Linked DNA regions of Stegostoma tigrinum. The protein of the gene in region 2 interacts with the protein of the main gene of each other region in a pairwise test. Links are inferred from orthologs where the notes say so. Each region holds a gene or a part of one and is shown on either strand. Other genes may lie near its edges.

What was found. The genes of interacting proteins can lie anywhere in the genome.
Region 1: the proteins of ube2na (region 2) and znrf2b interact in a two-hybrid assay, tested with the Homo sapiens proteins (4 studies listed by BioGRID). The link is inferred for Stegostoma tigrinum from reciprocal best matches to the Homo sapiens genes UBE2N and ZNRF2.

What each region holds. Positions count from the first base shown.
Region 1 is NC_081355.1:21,716,472-21,724,405, forward strand, and holds the start of znrf2b (E3 ubiquitin-protein ligase znrf2), read right to left. Parts: upstream 3,078-7,934; 5' UTR 2,106-3,077; coding exon 1,634-2,105; intron 1-1,633. UniProt on the Homo sapiens protein: E3 ubiquitin-protein ligase that plays a role in the establishment and maintenance of neuronal transmission and plasticity. Ubiquitinates the Na(+)/K(+) ATPase alpha-1 subunit/ATP1A1 and thereby influences its endocytosis and/or degradation.
Region 2 is NC_081378.1:49,660,817-49,668,882, forward strand, and holds the start of ube2na (ubiquitin-conjugating enzyme E2Na), read right to left. Parts: upstream 3,057-8,066; 5' UTR 2,872-3,056; coding exon 2,839-2,871; intron 1-2,838. UniProt on the Homo sapiens protein: The UBE2V1-UBE2N and UBE2V2-UBE2N heterodimers catalyze the synthesis of non-canonical 'Lys-63'-linked polyubiquitin chains. This type of polyubiquitination does not lead to protein degradation by the proteasome.

The DNA of each region.
Region 1 (7,934 bases), on a different chromosome or scaffold from region 2:
AATCATAACCATTGCACAGCCTATTTAAAGGTACCTATTTAAAAACTGGAAGTAAATTCCTTAAGCATAAAAATTAGTCACAGGTACATATTTCTAAACCTCCCGACAACTGACTACCAGTCGCATAATAACTGACCACCACAGGATGAACAGAGCTGAGTGCACTCTCTATCCCTCCCTGTAGAGAGGACACAGGCAGGTGGAAGTCTCCCTTAGTACCCCTCCTAACGTATACTGGGAAAATATTTCCGTAGCCTGGTCACAAACTGTTCACCAGCCTTCCTGGCTATAGCGGCAGATTAGTTTACTATCTCCAGGTAGAATAATGGGTTTGGAAGAAATTCATGAGGAATACAAAGAAAAATAAACTCTGTGACAATCACAGTATTTATACAATTTTCAGTTATGTGCCTCTGTAGGTTTTAAAACTCTCATTCATCTCTCTTGCCCAATTCTAAACTGTGTTGATGTGTCAACGATGAACTCATCCTTACTAGCCATTTACTATATCACACGGCGAGACTTTCAGCACTAGAGCGATGAGCTATGTAACGAGAGCAAAACACATTCAGGAACAACCACTGTGCTGCCTGGAATAGTCCAAACTCGCTGAGCTGACCTAGGACACGCTACTGAGACGAGGTGTTGGTGGGAGGCCATACAGTTCTCCACAGAAAACATCCTAATAATAATGGAGATCCCTCACCAGGGATCGCCCAGAGCAACGAGGAACTCACTGATTCTACTACACCGCGCCTTGAGAAAGGGGCGAGTGTGTGAGCAGGATACTTGACAATTTGTCAACCAAGTTGCAATCTACATTGTAATCTCAAACTCCTCAATCACACAGCCGAGTTTATACCGCGGTTTCACGTTTTACTGGCTTCGGGTAAAGTGACTATATAAACACCCGGGGGGCTGCAAATTGCTTTCCCGAATCAGAACCCGGTACTCGAGTAAATAATGCATCGAGGAATAAGCAACGTGTCGCCGGTCGGAGCTGTGCAAGTCTCCAGTTGAGAGTGCTCGGTGCACAGAGCCCCTTTTCACATCACCTGTTAACAGCCAGCCCCAGAGCGGGGACGACATGTTTTGAAAACACAGATGTAAATAATGGGAAGGTGCCCCAGAACAAAAAAAAACAAAAATTGCCATGGGCCTCAGTCCGTGGTGCCTGTGAGATCGGTGGGGACATCAAATCTGTGCGGAACACGGTACTTGGGGAAATGGTGAGGGGCGGGGGGCGATATTCTCAAAAGCATGACCGCTTTCCCAATGAAAGAGCCAGAATGTACGCAAGCGCTTGAAAGTCCGCATATTGATAAGGCAGTGCTGTCAGCAACAGGGGTCCCGATTAATCTCTGGAACTTCTTTTTTGTCATTGCTTTTGTTTTGTTCACAAAGGAACACTGAAGGGTTTGAGGGATCCGCGTTTTGAGGGAGGGAGACAGGAATGGAACCTGTTAAAATTCGTTCCAGTTATTCTTTTAGCAATATCAATAGGAAAAACCCCTCTTCCATCAGAAGGGTAGGACCCCCCCAGTACAGGGGAGCCCGTCCCGTTAGGCTCGGGGTCCTGTCCTCTCGGGAAAGCGCGTTTCCCACACCGCCCGGTTTCTAAAGAGGCGCTTACCTCCGAATAGGTCAGGAGACAGGTGAGCGGGCAGCGAGCCGATGAGTAAGCGGGGAGCTGAGCTGTGTGCTCCCGGCCGCTCGGGTGTCCTTTCCTCCGGGGTGCTGCCCTCCGACTCCTCTTGCGAGCTGCAAGTGCCGCCGCTGTTGGGGATGTTGACCGACTGGTTCCTGATGCCGGCGCCAGTCGCTGACCTGGGACCGCCGGCGGCTGGAGGTGGAAGAGGAGGAGGAGGAGGCGGCGGCGGCGGTGAGACCAAGTGGAAGCGGCCGCTGGACGTGGGGGCCAACCCGTAGCCGGCCACTGAGCCGTGGCCCGAGGCGCTCGATGATGATGATGAAGCGGCGGCGGCGGCGGCAGATCCCCCAACCGAGCGGCTGCTGCTGCTGCTGACCGTGTGCGAGGGCAGATCGGAGCCCGAGTAAGCCCGGGTGCGACCGCTCGGAGCCGGGCTGCTCTGCTTCGCCCCCATGGGGGTGACCTGGGGGCAGGAGGAAGGGGGGGAAAGGTAGGGGCTTCTCAAATCGGTCGCTAACAAACTTCTGAGCCACTTTCTTCCGCTTCTGAATCCTTCTCTTCCCCAGCCCCCCCAAAAGATTGAGGTTCCCAATGTTTCTCTCGAATCCACTGCTGCCCCTTGTTCCGCTGATTTTGTATTTTTTTGGGGGGGGTAGTTGTTTTTAACAAAAAGCACGGGATGTGTGTGTTTATTACTTGAGGAACAGAAAGATCCCAGTTAAAGAAAGCGAGTCAGCCTTGGTGCATACCGTTGCTGCTGCTGCAGCCCTTTTGCAGGAGATCCGAGGCGGCGCTGCAGACAGGGAGAAAGGTTCAGCAAGTGGCCCGCGGGTGAGTGTACTGCAACCGGCGGGAGTGCCGCGCTGGCTCCGCTCCCGATTCAGTTCCTGCTCTTACTGCCGTTCCTCCGGATTGCTGCTGCCGCCCCGCTCTATCCGCCATCGCAGCGCTAAACCAACAGCATGGCAATCAGAACAAAAACAAAAGTGAGCTGTTGCTTTTCCTCTCTCTTTGTTTTCAGCCCCCCCCCCTTCTTTTTCTCTCTCTCTCTCTGTGTATGTGTGTTGGTTCAACTAGTTCCTCTTGCCCCCACCCCGTTTTGCCTTCCTCATGCTTCGGGAGCTCCTGGCACTCTGTTCGACAGGGGGACATCCAAACGCCGACACGCACGCATCATTAAAGTCCAGAGGACGGCCAGATAACACCGAGGCACATTCACAACAAACACGGAGACTTACTCAATGACTGACTGACTGGCCACCCCCTTCCTCGCGTCAGGGCACGTCACAAACAGCAGGAAGAGATCACACAGTCATAATGAGAGAGAGAGAGAGAGAGACGTGGGGGAAACAATACACAGATATCACGGTTAACGACGACAAAGACAGGGAACAATGTACTGAGACCACACAGTAACAATGAGAGAGGGACAGGAACAATACATAGAGATCACACAGTAGCAATGAAAGAGAGAAAGACTGGAATCCAGACCACACAGTAACAATGAGAATGAGAGAGACTGGAATCGAGACCATACTGTAACAATGAGAGAGAGACGAACGATACAAAGAGATCCCACAGTAACAATGAGAGAGAGAGTGAGGCAGGAACGATACATAGAGATCACACAGTAACAATGAGAGAGAGAGAGATACGAACAATATATAGAGAACATACAGTAACAGAGAGAGGGAGAGACAGGATTAAACATAGAGATCATACAATAACAACGAAAGAGAGAGAAGCAGGAACAGTACACAGATAACACACAGTAACAATGAGAAGGACAGGCTGGGACAATATACACAGATCATGCAGTCATAATGAGAGACAGATCGGGGAAAATGTGCGGAGACCACAGTAACAATTAGGAAGAGAGATGGAACAATGCACAGAGCTCACATTGTGACAATGAAAAGAGAGATATGAACAATCTATAGAGATCACAAAGTATTAATGAGATGCAGAGGTAGGGAGCAATACAAGAGATTATACATTAATAAAGAGAGACACAGGGAACAATCCACAGTGATAAAATAGTAACAATGAGAGTGAGAGACTGGATCATAGACAGAGATTAGAGAGTTACAATGAGAGAGAAGAGCCAGGGAATAATACAGATAGATCAGACAGTAACAATGACAGTGAGATATAGAACAATACACAAAGATCAGACAGTAAAACAGAGAGAGGTAGATAATGAGTGATAGGGAAAATTACACAGAGATCAGATGGTAACAATGAAAATGTGATCCTGAAAAATGCAGAGATCATACAGTAATAATGAGTGAGGGGGCAGAAAATAATCCACAGGTCACAAAGTAACGATGAGAGAGAGGTTGAAATCCACAAAGATCACACAGCAACAATTAAAATGAGACATGGAACAATACACAGAGATTGCATAATAATAATGAGAAGAGAGAGACCTGAACAATGGAAGTACAGCACAGGTAGACATTGTGCTGCAGAAGGCATACGGGATGCTTGCCTTCATAAAATATTGGAGCAAAAAAGTCTTGTTAATTGCTAAAACATTTATTAGGCCTCAGATGGCCTACTGTGTGCAGTTCTGGTTGCCACACCATCAGAAGGACATGATTGCACTGCAGAGGGTGCAGAGGAGATTCACCTGGATGTTGCCTGGAATGGAAAGTCTCAATTCTGAGGTGACACTAGGTGGGCTGGGTTAAGTTTCCTTGAAGTAGAGGGGACTGAAGGAAGATCTGATTGATGTATACAAAATTATGGGAGGCATAGATCCTGAGTGATGACAAGGTGGCTCAGTGCTGCCACAAAGCACCAGGGAACCCAGGTTCAATTTCACCCTCAGGTGACTTTGGAATATGCACATTCTCCCTGTGTCTTCATGGGTTTCCTCTGGATATTCTGATTTCTCCCCACAGTCCAAGGCTGTACAGGTTAGGTAGACTGGCCATGCTAAATAGCCCATGGTGTCAAGGGACATGCAGACTAGGTGGATTAGCCACTGGGGATGTAGGGTTACAGGGGTAGGGAGTGGGTCTGAGTGGGCTGTTCTTTGGAGAATCAGTGTGGACTTGATGGTCTGAACCAAGCCTGCTTCCACACTCTAGACAGAGTAGATTGTGAAAATCTCTTCCCCATGGCAGATGTACCTAAGACCAGACAGTATGCATTTATGGTGAGGAGCAAGTAGTTTAGAGGAAATATGAGAAATAATTTTTTCACCCAGAGTGTGATAGAAATATGGAACATACTGCCTGAGAGGGTGGTGGGAGCAGATACCCTCGCAACATGTAAGAAGCATCTGGTTGTGTACTTAAATGCCTGGGCATAATAGATTATAGATCAAGTGCAGTTAAGTGGGAAAATGTAGTTTGGTTTTTGCTGGTCAGCATAGACATGGTGGGCCAAATGGCCTGTTTCTATCCTTTATTACTCTATGAAATGGAACAAAACACAGCAATCACGCAACAATAATAAGGCAATGGGGACAGAAAGAGAGACATGGAACAGAGAGAACAGATAATAACAGTGAAAGTTAGACATGGAACAATGAACAGAGATCACACAGAAACAATGAGAGACAAGAAACATGGAACAATATAGAGAAATCAGTGAAGAGACAGTACTAGTGAAAATGAGACTTTGAACAATACACAAAGATCATATGGTAGGAATTAGAGAGATAGACATGGACCAACACACAGGGTGGTATCAGAGTAACAATCCGAGTGAACTATGGAACAATACAAAGAGAGAACACATTGCAACAAAGTGAGAAAAAGGTGTGGAACAATGCACAGACCTCACAACAACAAATTAAGAGACAGGCATGGGTAGAATACAAACGGTGATCACACAGTAACGTTGAATGATATAGATAGGGATCAGTATAGACAGAGATCACATTGTATCAGTGAGACAGTAACATGGGACAATACAAAGAATGATCACCAGTAACTGTTGAAATGATAGCTTTGGAACAATATACAGAAGATCACACAGTAACAATCAATGAGCTAACACGTGGAACAACATGGAGATAGATCACAAAGTTCCAACAAGGAAGAGAGTAATGGGACTTCACAGAGAGACTTCACAAAGTAACAATGACAAAGGTAGATACGGACCAATACAGAAAGAGATCACATAGTAACTAAGAGTGATATGTTAACAATACAGAAAGATTGCACAGTCACAAAGAGAGAGGCTAGAACTATATACAGAGACATAATGCAGTAAAAATGAGACTGAGCCAGGCACAATACACAGAGCAATTACTGGAAATAATAAGAATGAGATGTGGAAAAAAGAATGAGACAAAGATATTGCACTGTGGCGCTGTGAGAATTGACATGGAGATCTCACAGTAACAATGAATGACATATGAACAATACAAAGAAATATCAATTGTAACAATAACACAAATGAACATAGAGCAATTGACAGAGATGTCATAACACAACAATGAAAAGGAGACATGGAACAATACACAACAACAATGACAACGACCACAGTGAAATGTGAAACAATACTGTGATAGTGAGAGTGAGCTATGGGCCAGTAATGCAGAGATCATACATTTAAAATGGCAGTGAGACACAGAACATTACAGACAGATCAGAAAGTAACAACAAGAGTGCTTGAGAGGCAGAACAGTATGCAGAGAGAGTGCATAATATCAATGAGAGTAAGAATAATACACAGAAATATCAAAAGTAACAACCAGAGAGACAGAGATGGAAGAATACACTGACAGATCACACAGTAAAAATGAAAGTGAGACATGGAACAATACGCAGTGATCACACAGTAATAATGAGCATCAGATGTTGTGACTCTGATATTTGTGCATTGTACAATGAGCAAGAGAAAGATGGATCAATAATCAGCAAATGCAACATTATCATCGAAAAATGCACAGAAAAAGCACACAGTAATAATGAGATTTAGGACTGGAACAATATGGACTCAAATCACTTAGTAACAATCTGAGGGATAAACATGAAGAAATACAGAGAGATGACACATTAACAATGGAAGAGAGATAGATATTGTGAAAAAAAGTGATATCGCACTGTAAAAATGGGAGTGAGACATACAAAAATTCCTAGGGATCACACAGTAACAATTACAGAGTGACAAGGAATAATACACAGATAGATCACACAGCAACAATGAAAGAATGTGAAGGAACAATACAAAAATGTGAGTGATATGTGGGAAATGCACAGCAAAATCACATGGTAACTATTACAGAGAGAAACATGCAACAACACACAGGCGGATCACACAGTAACAACAAGAATGTGACAGGGAAACACACAGAGGTCATACAGTTATAATAAGAGAGAGAGAGAGACATGATCAAATACAGTGGTCACACAGTAACACTATGAGTCAGAAGTGGAAAAACACAGAGTTCATACAGTAGCAGTGACATAAAGAGGGATGGAACAGCACACAGAGAGACTACACAGTAGCCAAGCAGGAGATACATGGAGCAATACGCAGAGGGATCCCACAGTAATAATGAGACTATGACATGGAACAACACACAGAAATCATACAGTTACAATGAGAAAGTGAGACATAACCAGTACACAGATAGTTCACACAAAAATAATGAGACTGAGACATGCAGTGACACAAGGAGAGATCACTCAGTCAGGGAAACACATGGAACCAATAAATAGAGAACACACAAGTAAAAGTACAAGAGAAGGCCTTGGAACAACATACAGAGATCACACAGTAACAATGAGAGCGAAACATGGACAATAGACAGAGATCAGAGAAAAATAATGAGAGTGACACATGGGACAATTCCTAGTGACTACGCATTGATAGTAAACAGAAAGAAAGCGGAATAACAGTATGATTGAAGTGTAAAACAACAGACACAGACATCTCACACTATCAGTTTGATAGATGGACTTTGGACAGTTTACAGTGAGATCACACAGGATTGATTAGGGAGAAAGCAATCAAACAGCAGCAATGAGTGAGGTAGTGATTGAACAATAATGTGTACCTATAAGAAAAAGAGACAGATGGAATATGCACAGAAATCAAACAATAACAATGAGTGATATAGATTTGTAACAATACACAGACAGATCACACAATAGCAATGGGAGTGAGACGTGAAACAACACAGAGAAATTTCACAGTAATAATGACAGAGACAGATTCATAGACAACACACAGTGAAATCACACTGTAACGATGCTGGAAGGAAACATTGAACAATACACTGCATCAAAGTTGTACATTTCAGATGGTATGATTAAACTCT
Region 2 (8,066 bases):
TTTGCACACAGATCAAATTAAACAATTATTGCTTGGAGTGAGAGCCATTAAAGCTTACTAACTATAACTAAAACTTTTCTACATTACTGGTAAATTGTGGCAGACAATTTCAAAATCAAAAAAGGCCTCCAGGATGGATGATATATACCCATAGCTGTAAATCTTCAAAGTGCCATCACTACATTTGGCAACGAATGAAAGAGTCACCTCAAGGAATTGAAAATAGGTCAACACAGCAACCTATTTTCTAAAATGGTTGACAAAACAAACCCAAGCAACTGTTATATCTATTAAGTTTCACATCAACAATTGCCAGACTAACAAAGGACAGACAGTAATAAAACAGAGGAGGAAATTGCAACTGAAATATCTGATCTTTTGAAACATTTCAAGTACATTTTGGCATGTCCAAGTAACACTGTGGATGTCTGAACATTCGTACTAAAAGCCAGGAGGCACAGAAGCAGTTGGAGAAAGAAAGCACTGATTTTAGCAACAATGTAAAGAAATACACTGAGTAACTTCTTGGGAACATACTAGAGTAACAGAAACACAACTACTTGCAACTGCTGTCTTCACTCTGGCACACAGTGTTTTAATAATAATTGCAAAACCCTACTTGCAAGGGAGTAAAATACTGGAAATCTAAATTACCTCCCAAGGCAAAATGATGCAGGATTTCATAGTCCAAAAAGTGGTCATGAAGACACAGACAAGGCCACCACAAATGCAAACAATGAATATTTGGAGAAACAAAGTTGAAAGCCTGTGAAATGATGCTTAAATTTGTACAGGACCTTTATTAGTCCACAGGTAAAGTATTACATGCAGTTCCATTCTCTAGATTATAAAATAGGCCTTAGAGGTGCCCTCAACAGTACAGTAAAGATTAACCAGGATAACAGAACACAATTGAAGATCCGAGATAATGGGAACTGCAGATGCTGGAGAATCTAAGATAACAAAGTGTGAAGCTGGATGAACACAGCAGGCCAAGCAGCATCTCAGGAGCACAAAAGCTGACGTTTCGGGGTAACATCTTTCATGACAAAGTGCTTTAGAACCAATGAAATACAAAGTTATTATTGTAATATAGGTAATAAACAGCTGGTTTGCACAAATAACAGATAGTAGGAACTGTAGATGCTGGAAAATCTGAGATAACAAGGTGTAGAGCTGGATGAACACAGCAGGCCAAGCAGCAGAGGAGCAGGGAAGCTGACGTTTTCGGTCTAGACTCTTCTTCAGAAAATCTGAAGGGTCTAGGGCTGAAACGTCAGATTTCCTGCCTGGCCTGCTAGGTTCATCCCTCAAATAACAAGCAAGATGAGGACTACACGATCTGCTCTTCGCCTTTGGGAGCGTAGCACAACTTCTAAGGTTGGCTCAATTTGGGGTGCCACTTTAAAAAAAGTGACAGAGCTCAGATTGAATTTACTACTCTACTGGTTTCTGTTGCCTACTTTTCGTCTTCAGGTTTACTTTCAGTTTTAGCTGTAACGGAATTGACAGTCTGTGGCCGCGGAACTCCCTGAATTATAACTTCTACGTTCCCACTTCAAATTTAACACCGATTCGCTTTCAACTACGAGCGTCAGAGGTCTTAGAGCCCAAGAGAGGGATCTTGACCTCAGGCTATGAAAGCAGAGTCACAAACTATTTAGTCAAGGCAGGGAAATTAGACGTTATCGGAGTGGGAATTCCCAGAACAATCAGGCCGGTCACGACCTCCTGGAAGGGCAGAGCCAGCTCAAGGCGGCCGTACGGCCCTGCTCTGTCCCCGATTTGTATTTTTCGAGCCCTCTCGGTTTGCCCGGGACTTTCGGGCCGCGTTACTCTCGTCGCTGTTCGGACGCCCCGCGAAGGCGGTGAGGGCCGACGCCGCACAGTAAGCTTCTAGAAGCTTCCACTGCAGCCGAAGCGGGAGCGCTCGCGTACCAGCAGAATGTCACACAATCCCTACAAGTGCATTCTCCCCCCCCCCATCCAGCATCAACACCGGGCTACGCCGCGACAACATGGCGGAGGAGACGGGGAGCTCCCAACCGGCCGAGGTCACACGGTCGCCTTGCCCCCCCCCCCCCCCCCTCAGTCTATCCTTTTTAAAAAACCCTGGGAGCGGACCCCACAAGTCACGTGTCTCTCTCTCTACCCCCCCCCCCCGCCAACTCCAGTCCGTTACCCGAGCGGCGCGAGGGCCCTTTTCAAACGCGGCGGTCATTCGAGCCGCGCACTCCATTAAAAATCACGCACGGTGGGGGCGAGAAGGAGCTGCTCCACGTTTAAAGAAGCGCTATCGACCCAAGAAATTGCCACCCCCTCCACACCCGGTCTAAAGCAAAGAAAAATAACCTTCTCTCATCGACACCGCCTCTCCCACCCACCCCCCCCCCCAACACAAAAATATAACCACCTCCCGCATTAGGCCTCACCCATCGGCGTCACCGGGCTCTAGGCTGTGACGCACCCCGCCCGCTGCGGGAGAATTAGGGGGCCCACCCCGCTGTCGCCCCTAGTTCCCGGGGGGGGGGGGGGAAGAGAAACTCTTGTAAGGCCTCCTGCTTGGCCCAGGAAGCGGCATACCAGTCAGGTCATCTTTCTCTTCTATTTCTACACCTCCCTACCCCCCCGCAAAACACGGTGCGGGCTCCGCCGCCATGTTGATGCCATGAGGCTTTCTTTTCAGGCTTCCCTAGCTGGAAGCGGAAGTGGTTTCGCAAGACAGAAGGGGAAAAGAAACATGGAATAATCGCCCTACCACCTCAACAGGTAATTATTAAATGTTTTTATTCGAAACAAAATGCTTTTTAATAATTTGTAGCCTTTCGAGACCCGTACCTTGGTGATACGCCTGGGAAGCCCGCCTGCCATTTTCGCTCGATGTTTGGGCGGCGATGCTTTCTTGCGCTCGCTCTCCTGTTTCTCTCTCTTCCCACAAAACTGCGGGAGGAGCCGGAGCCTGTCGTCTCTCTCCTGTTTCTTTCGCCCTTCCCCCACTTCCGGGTGCGTCAGGGGAGAGTGCGGGGCTCGCTGGGTAATGTAGTGCGTCGGGCAGGTTCCGCCCTTTGGGCTGACCTGGCCGGGGGACTACAACTCCCGAAATGCACCGCAAGCCGTCTGCAAGACTCCCTTTAACCCTGCAGGCTGCAGCCTTGCGGGTGTGTGTCCGCACTGCTGGGAAACGAAAGTGATTGTGCATTGTCAGAAAATGCAAAGCAAAAACACGAACAGCTGTAACTCGGGTAGTGTTCAATGTTTCGCTTGTATCTGCAACCTACTCGGTTGTGGAATGCTTTTGGACGGCCTAATGTCACCAGAGTCTCCTCCCCCACCATAAACCAATGGATTTACGCCACATTTTCATGATTTAAGAGTTGGACAAGAACTCCACAATTTCCAACACTCCTGAATTTTAAGCAACCTAGATTATTCAAGTTTTAAGCTCCTGTAAACTTGAACAATCGCTTAGTCTACAACGTTCAAAGCTCGCTGAAACTGGCTTTTTCTTCCCCCCCACATGACTAGTTAGTTCTAGGTACCCTTACACTAGCCACCTCGCGATTTGCCCAACCCAATTACTGACCCCTAACTGTCTGACGTCACGCTGTATAAACGAGGTCCTGCCCCGCACCACCCTCGTACCTACAGAAACTAAACACCTACCACCTGCAACAGTAAAGTCTCCAGTTTTTGTTCAACGCGACCTGTATTTGAACCGGATTGTCCAACTCTGCAGAAATAATCTTTCGCAGTAGCCACTTCTGTCACATCTCCCACTTGTAATATCTAGCCCATCTGATCCTGTAGCTGGTACCTGTCTGTAACACAGGCGACAGGCTTCTGCCTTGTACAAGAGCAAGCTGCTACTCTGAATCCTACATCAGGTATCAATGTGCCAGGTTACCATTTTTTAGTTTAAAAAAAATTGAATCTCAGACAAAAAATTTGGTTAGAGAAGGTGAGAAAGTCCCAATACGAAACATCAACTTTCCTACTCCTCTGATTCTGCCTGGCTTGCTGTGCTGTCAAAGGTTTTGTTGATTGTTTCAGTGGCTGGAATGGCGTTTAAAGACCTTGTTACATTAACTGAATAGTGAAGCATTTTTCAGTAGTTTAGACTTACCTCAACTGACAACAAACCAGATAAACTGGTCATTTATATAATTTATGTAAATTGGTTGCTGAGATGTCTACATTTGATCCACATACTCAATTTATCTGAGCCACTTGCCCAATCATTGTAGTTGCTAACTCTCTTACCTGTTTTAATTTTCACACTCTTGTCACAACTCATGTCCTTTTCTGATACCATAAAGCTCATTTGAGTTCCCATCGGACTTAATTGCCAACTTTCCAACAGTTAACAATGAACAGTTCTGAAATTAATCACTGTGTACCTTGTACATAATTATCTTCAATGTAATTAAAACCAAAGTTTTGGGCTAGAGAACATTTATTGTCCATCCCTAATTGCCCCAAGGGCAGTTCAGAGTCAACGACATTGCTGTGGACCTGGAGTCACATGTAGGCCAGACCAGGTAAGAATGACCGTTTCCATTAGTGAACCAGATGGGTTTTTCCTGACAATCAACAATGGATTTATGGTCATTCCAGATATTTTATTGAATTCAAATTTCACCATCTGCCATGGCGGGATTTTAACCAAGTCCCCAGAACATTATCTGCGTTTCGGGATTAACAGTCCAGCGATACTATCACTAGGCCATCGCCTCCCCTGTTATGCTCTTGTTCAAAATGGTTAAACAACTAATAAATACAAGCCTGTCAGTTTAACCTTGGTGGTGGGAAAACTTTAGCAACAATAATTTGTGACAAAAGTAACAGTCACAAACATTAACAATGGGAGAAGTGAAGAAGGTTAACAAGGGTGTTTAAAGGCAATTCAGGTTTAACTAACTTGGTTGAAATTTTTGAAGAGATACAGACTGGTGAGCTTAAATGTGATTGATGTGGCACACATGGATTTCCAAAAGACCTGTGCTAAGGTGTCATGTAATTGACTTGCCACAAAAGCTGATTCCTAAAGAATAAAAGCAACAATGGCGGCATAGATGCAATGCCCAATAAATGATGGGAAACAGAGTGGTGGTCATTGGTTGTTTTTCAGACTGGAGAAAGGTCTAAAATGGTGTTTCTCAGCAATTGATATAAAGATTGTTGCTTTTCATAATCTACATTAGTGACTTGGGTGTACAGGACAGAACTTCAAAATTTTTAGATGACACAAAATCTAGAAAGCATAATGAATCATGAGGAGGATAGTGTTCACCCTCAACAGATGAAATTTAACCTAGAAAAAGCATGAGGAAAGGCAATAAGAAATGGTCAGTAAAGTGGATGCAGGAATAATAGGGCCTTGGAATATAGATGCAAAAATTGTTGAAGATTACAGAGTAAATTGAGAAATACACATGGCATCTTAGGCTTTGAAAATGGAGAATATATCGGCACAAAAGCAAGAATTATATCACAAATCTTTACAAAGTAAAAATTAAGCCTGAACTGAAATATTGCGATTCAATTCTGGCATTGCGTTTAAGGAAGAATATAATGATTTTAATGAGGATGCAGAAAAAAGTTATGAAAATGGTTTCAAAGATGAGGAACTTTAGTCTTTGGATAGACTGGAGAATCTGGGCCTGTCATCCTTCAAAATAGAGCAGTTTGTGACATGACATTTGAAAGAGGTGCTCGGAGTCATGGGGAAAATCATAAAACTCGTCATAGCCACAGTCTGAGGATACAAGGTATCTTGGACTGAGAATAGGAGAACTTTCTTCACCAAGAGAGTTAAGCCTGTGGAATTCTCTGCCACAGAAAGTGCTTTGAGGTCAAAAATTAGGTCAAGAACATTAAAAGTTTAGGGAGTTAGTTCTTAGGGCTAAAGGGGTCAAATGATATGGGAGAAAACAGGAACAGGATATGAGTTGGATGATCAGCCATGATCATATTAAATGGTACGGCAGGATCAAGGGCTGAATGGCCTACTCCTATTCCTGTTTTTTTTAATGTTTCTACTTAAAATGGAATTTGATAAACATCTTAGGGAAACAACTTGTAGGGATTTAAGAAAAGTGTGATATATTGTGATAAGCTAAATTGCACCATTTGCTCAATTGATTCAAATCTGTCCTGTGCTGTTATCATCTTTGCTTAATTCTTGTGATTTTCTCACATGGATTAATTTACCTCACAGTATAAGAATGTGCAGGAGATATTTTTGACAACAGGAAAATGTTTACAGAATGAGAGTGAGTGGTAATCTACTGATACCAGATTTTGACTTTGTTAGAACATAGAACAATACAGCACAGTACAGGCCCTTCGGCCCTCAATGTTGGGCCGACCTGTCATACCGATCTCAAGCCCATCTAACCTACACTATTCCATGTACGTCCATATGCTTATCCAGTGACGACTTAAAATGTACCTAGGTCTAAATTCCAGCCTGGAATATAGAAACATTCCAGTTTCTGAGAGTTTTCTGGTGTTAGTTTCGTCACGTAAGAGGAAGGAAGGAACTTGGACTCTAGGTTTTCATTTTAAATTTGCTAAATTATTGTGGAAGATAAGGAGGCAATCAGACTATTTGAATTCCTTTTATTTCTCCTCTACAATTCAAGAAGGATATGAGCAGCTAGAAATAAGAATGCAGGAGCCACATAGTGCAGTAACATCAGCTCTTGGAACCAAAGATCTATAAAGGTTTACAGCACAGGAGGCAGCATTCAGCCCATCAGGTCTGTGCTAACCATCTGCTGAATCCAAAACTAATCCCACTGACCACCCCTCTGTAGCCTTGTACCAATGCTCAAGTAATCACACATATCACTGTCTCCCCATTGCACTCCATCAATCCCGAATTAATCTGCCTATGCAGCTGTCTAATGTCTATATAATTTTTAAAACCATACTCCGATCAAAACTAACCTCACTGCACACACTGTTGCATGTTGCTGCATTTCAAATATTTAGCTAAATGTTTCCTCAAAAGATCACTGGTCTTCATCTGAAATGTTCCAATTAACAAAATATTCATGTTTTAACAATTAAAAACTATTGTAAATATCCGAGATCATAAATATTTTCTGATTTTGTTTTCATGCTAAAATTTGGAGCATAAAAGCTGATTTCTTCCCACTGCAGAACAAGAAGGTCACAATCCAGGATTTTTGGTGGCATGACAAGGGAAAGATGGAGCATAGTGCTGTGGTTACAAGGGACTACTGCCTTTGTTTTAATGCCGTGGGCACAAAAAAGCCACTTCTTTTGGCGCAATGATTCTCAATGGGTACACTGTACAGTCAGTAGCATAGAAATTTTCATATTGCTTTAAATTGCAGCTTCTCCTCAGCCATCACCTGAAGTTATTGACTCATACAGGTAATACTGATCAGAATCTAGAACCTCATTTACTTGACTCTTTTTCAGTTATGAACGGAGATAACCTGTGCCAACACAGTGTTTGCCCACAGGCAGAAGCATAATTCTCCGATCTGATTCTCTCAACTGATGTCTGCTTGCATATAGGGGGTCTTGGAAGATGAGGAAATGCTGCAAGCTATATCTCTTTTCTCTAGCTCAGAATGCACAAGTATGAATTGCTGATCCCAACCATTTTCCCACTAAAATCAGCTATGCTGGGGATCGAGGCAGTTGCATTTGTGCTCTGCATGAGTAACTCTAAAACGTTCTAATAGAAGTCTCAAAAATGTATTTTAAATGTCTTTAATTTGAAAATACCCTCTATAGTCAAGAGTCAATTTTTGTCTACAAATCCTCTGTCCAAAAACTCAAAATCTTTTACTTACCTCTCATAATTGCCATTAATTCCAATGCATCAACTTGGTGAGGAGTTGATGGCATAGTAGTTACATCACTGGACCACAAATCCAAAGAGCCAGGCTAATGAGGCTGCACAGTGGCTCAGTGGTTAGCATGACTGTATCACAGTGACCCGCGTTCAATTCCAGCCTCAGTCGACTGCGTGTGTGAAGTTTGCACATTCTCCTTGTGTCTGCGTAAGTTTCCTCCCACAGTTCAAA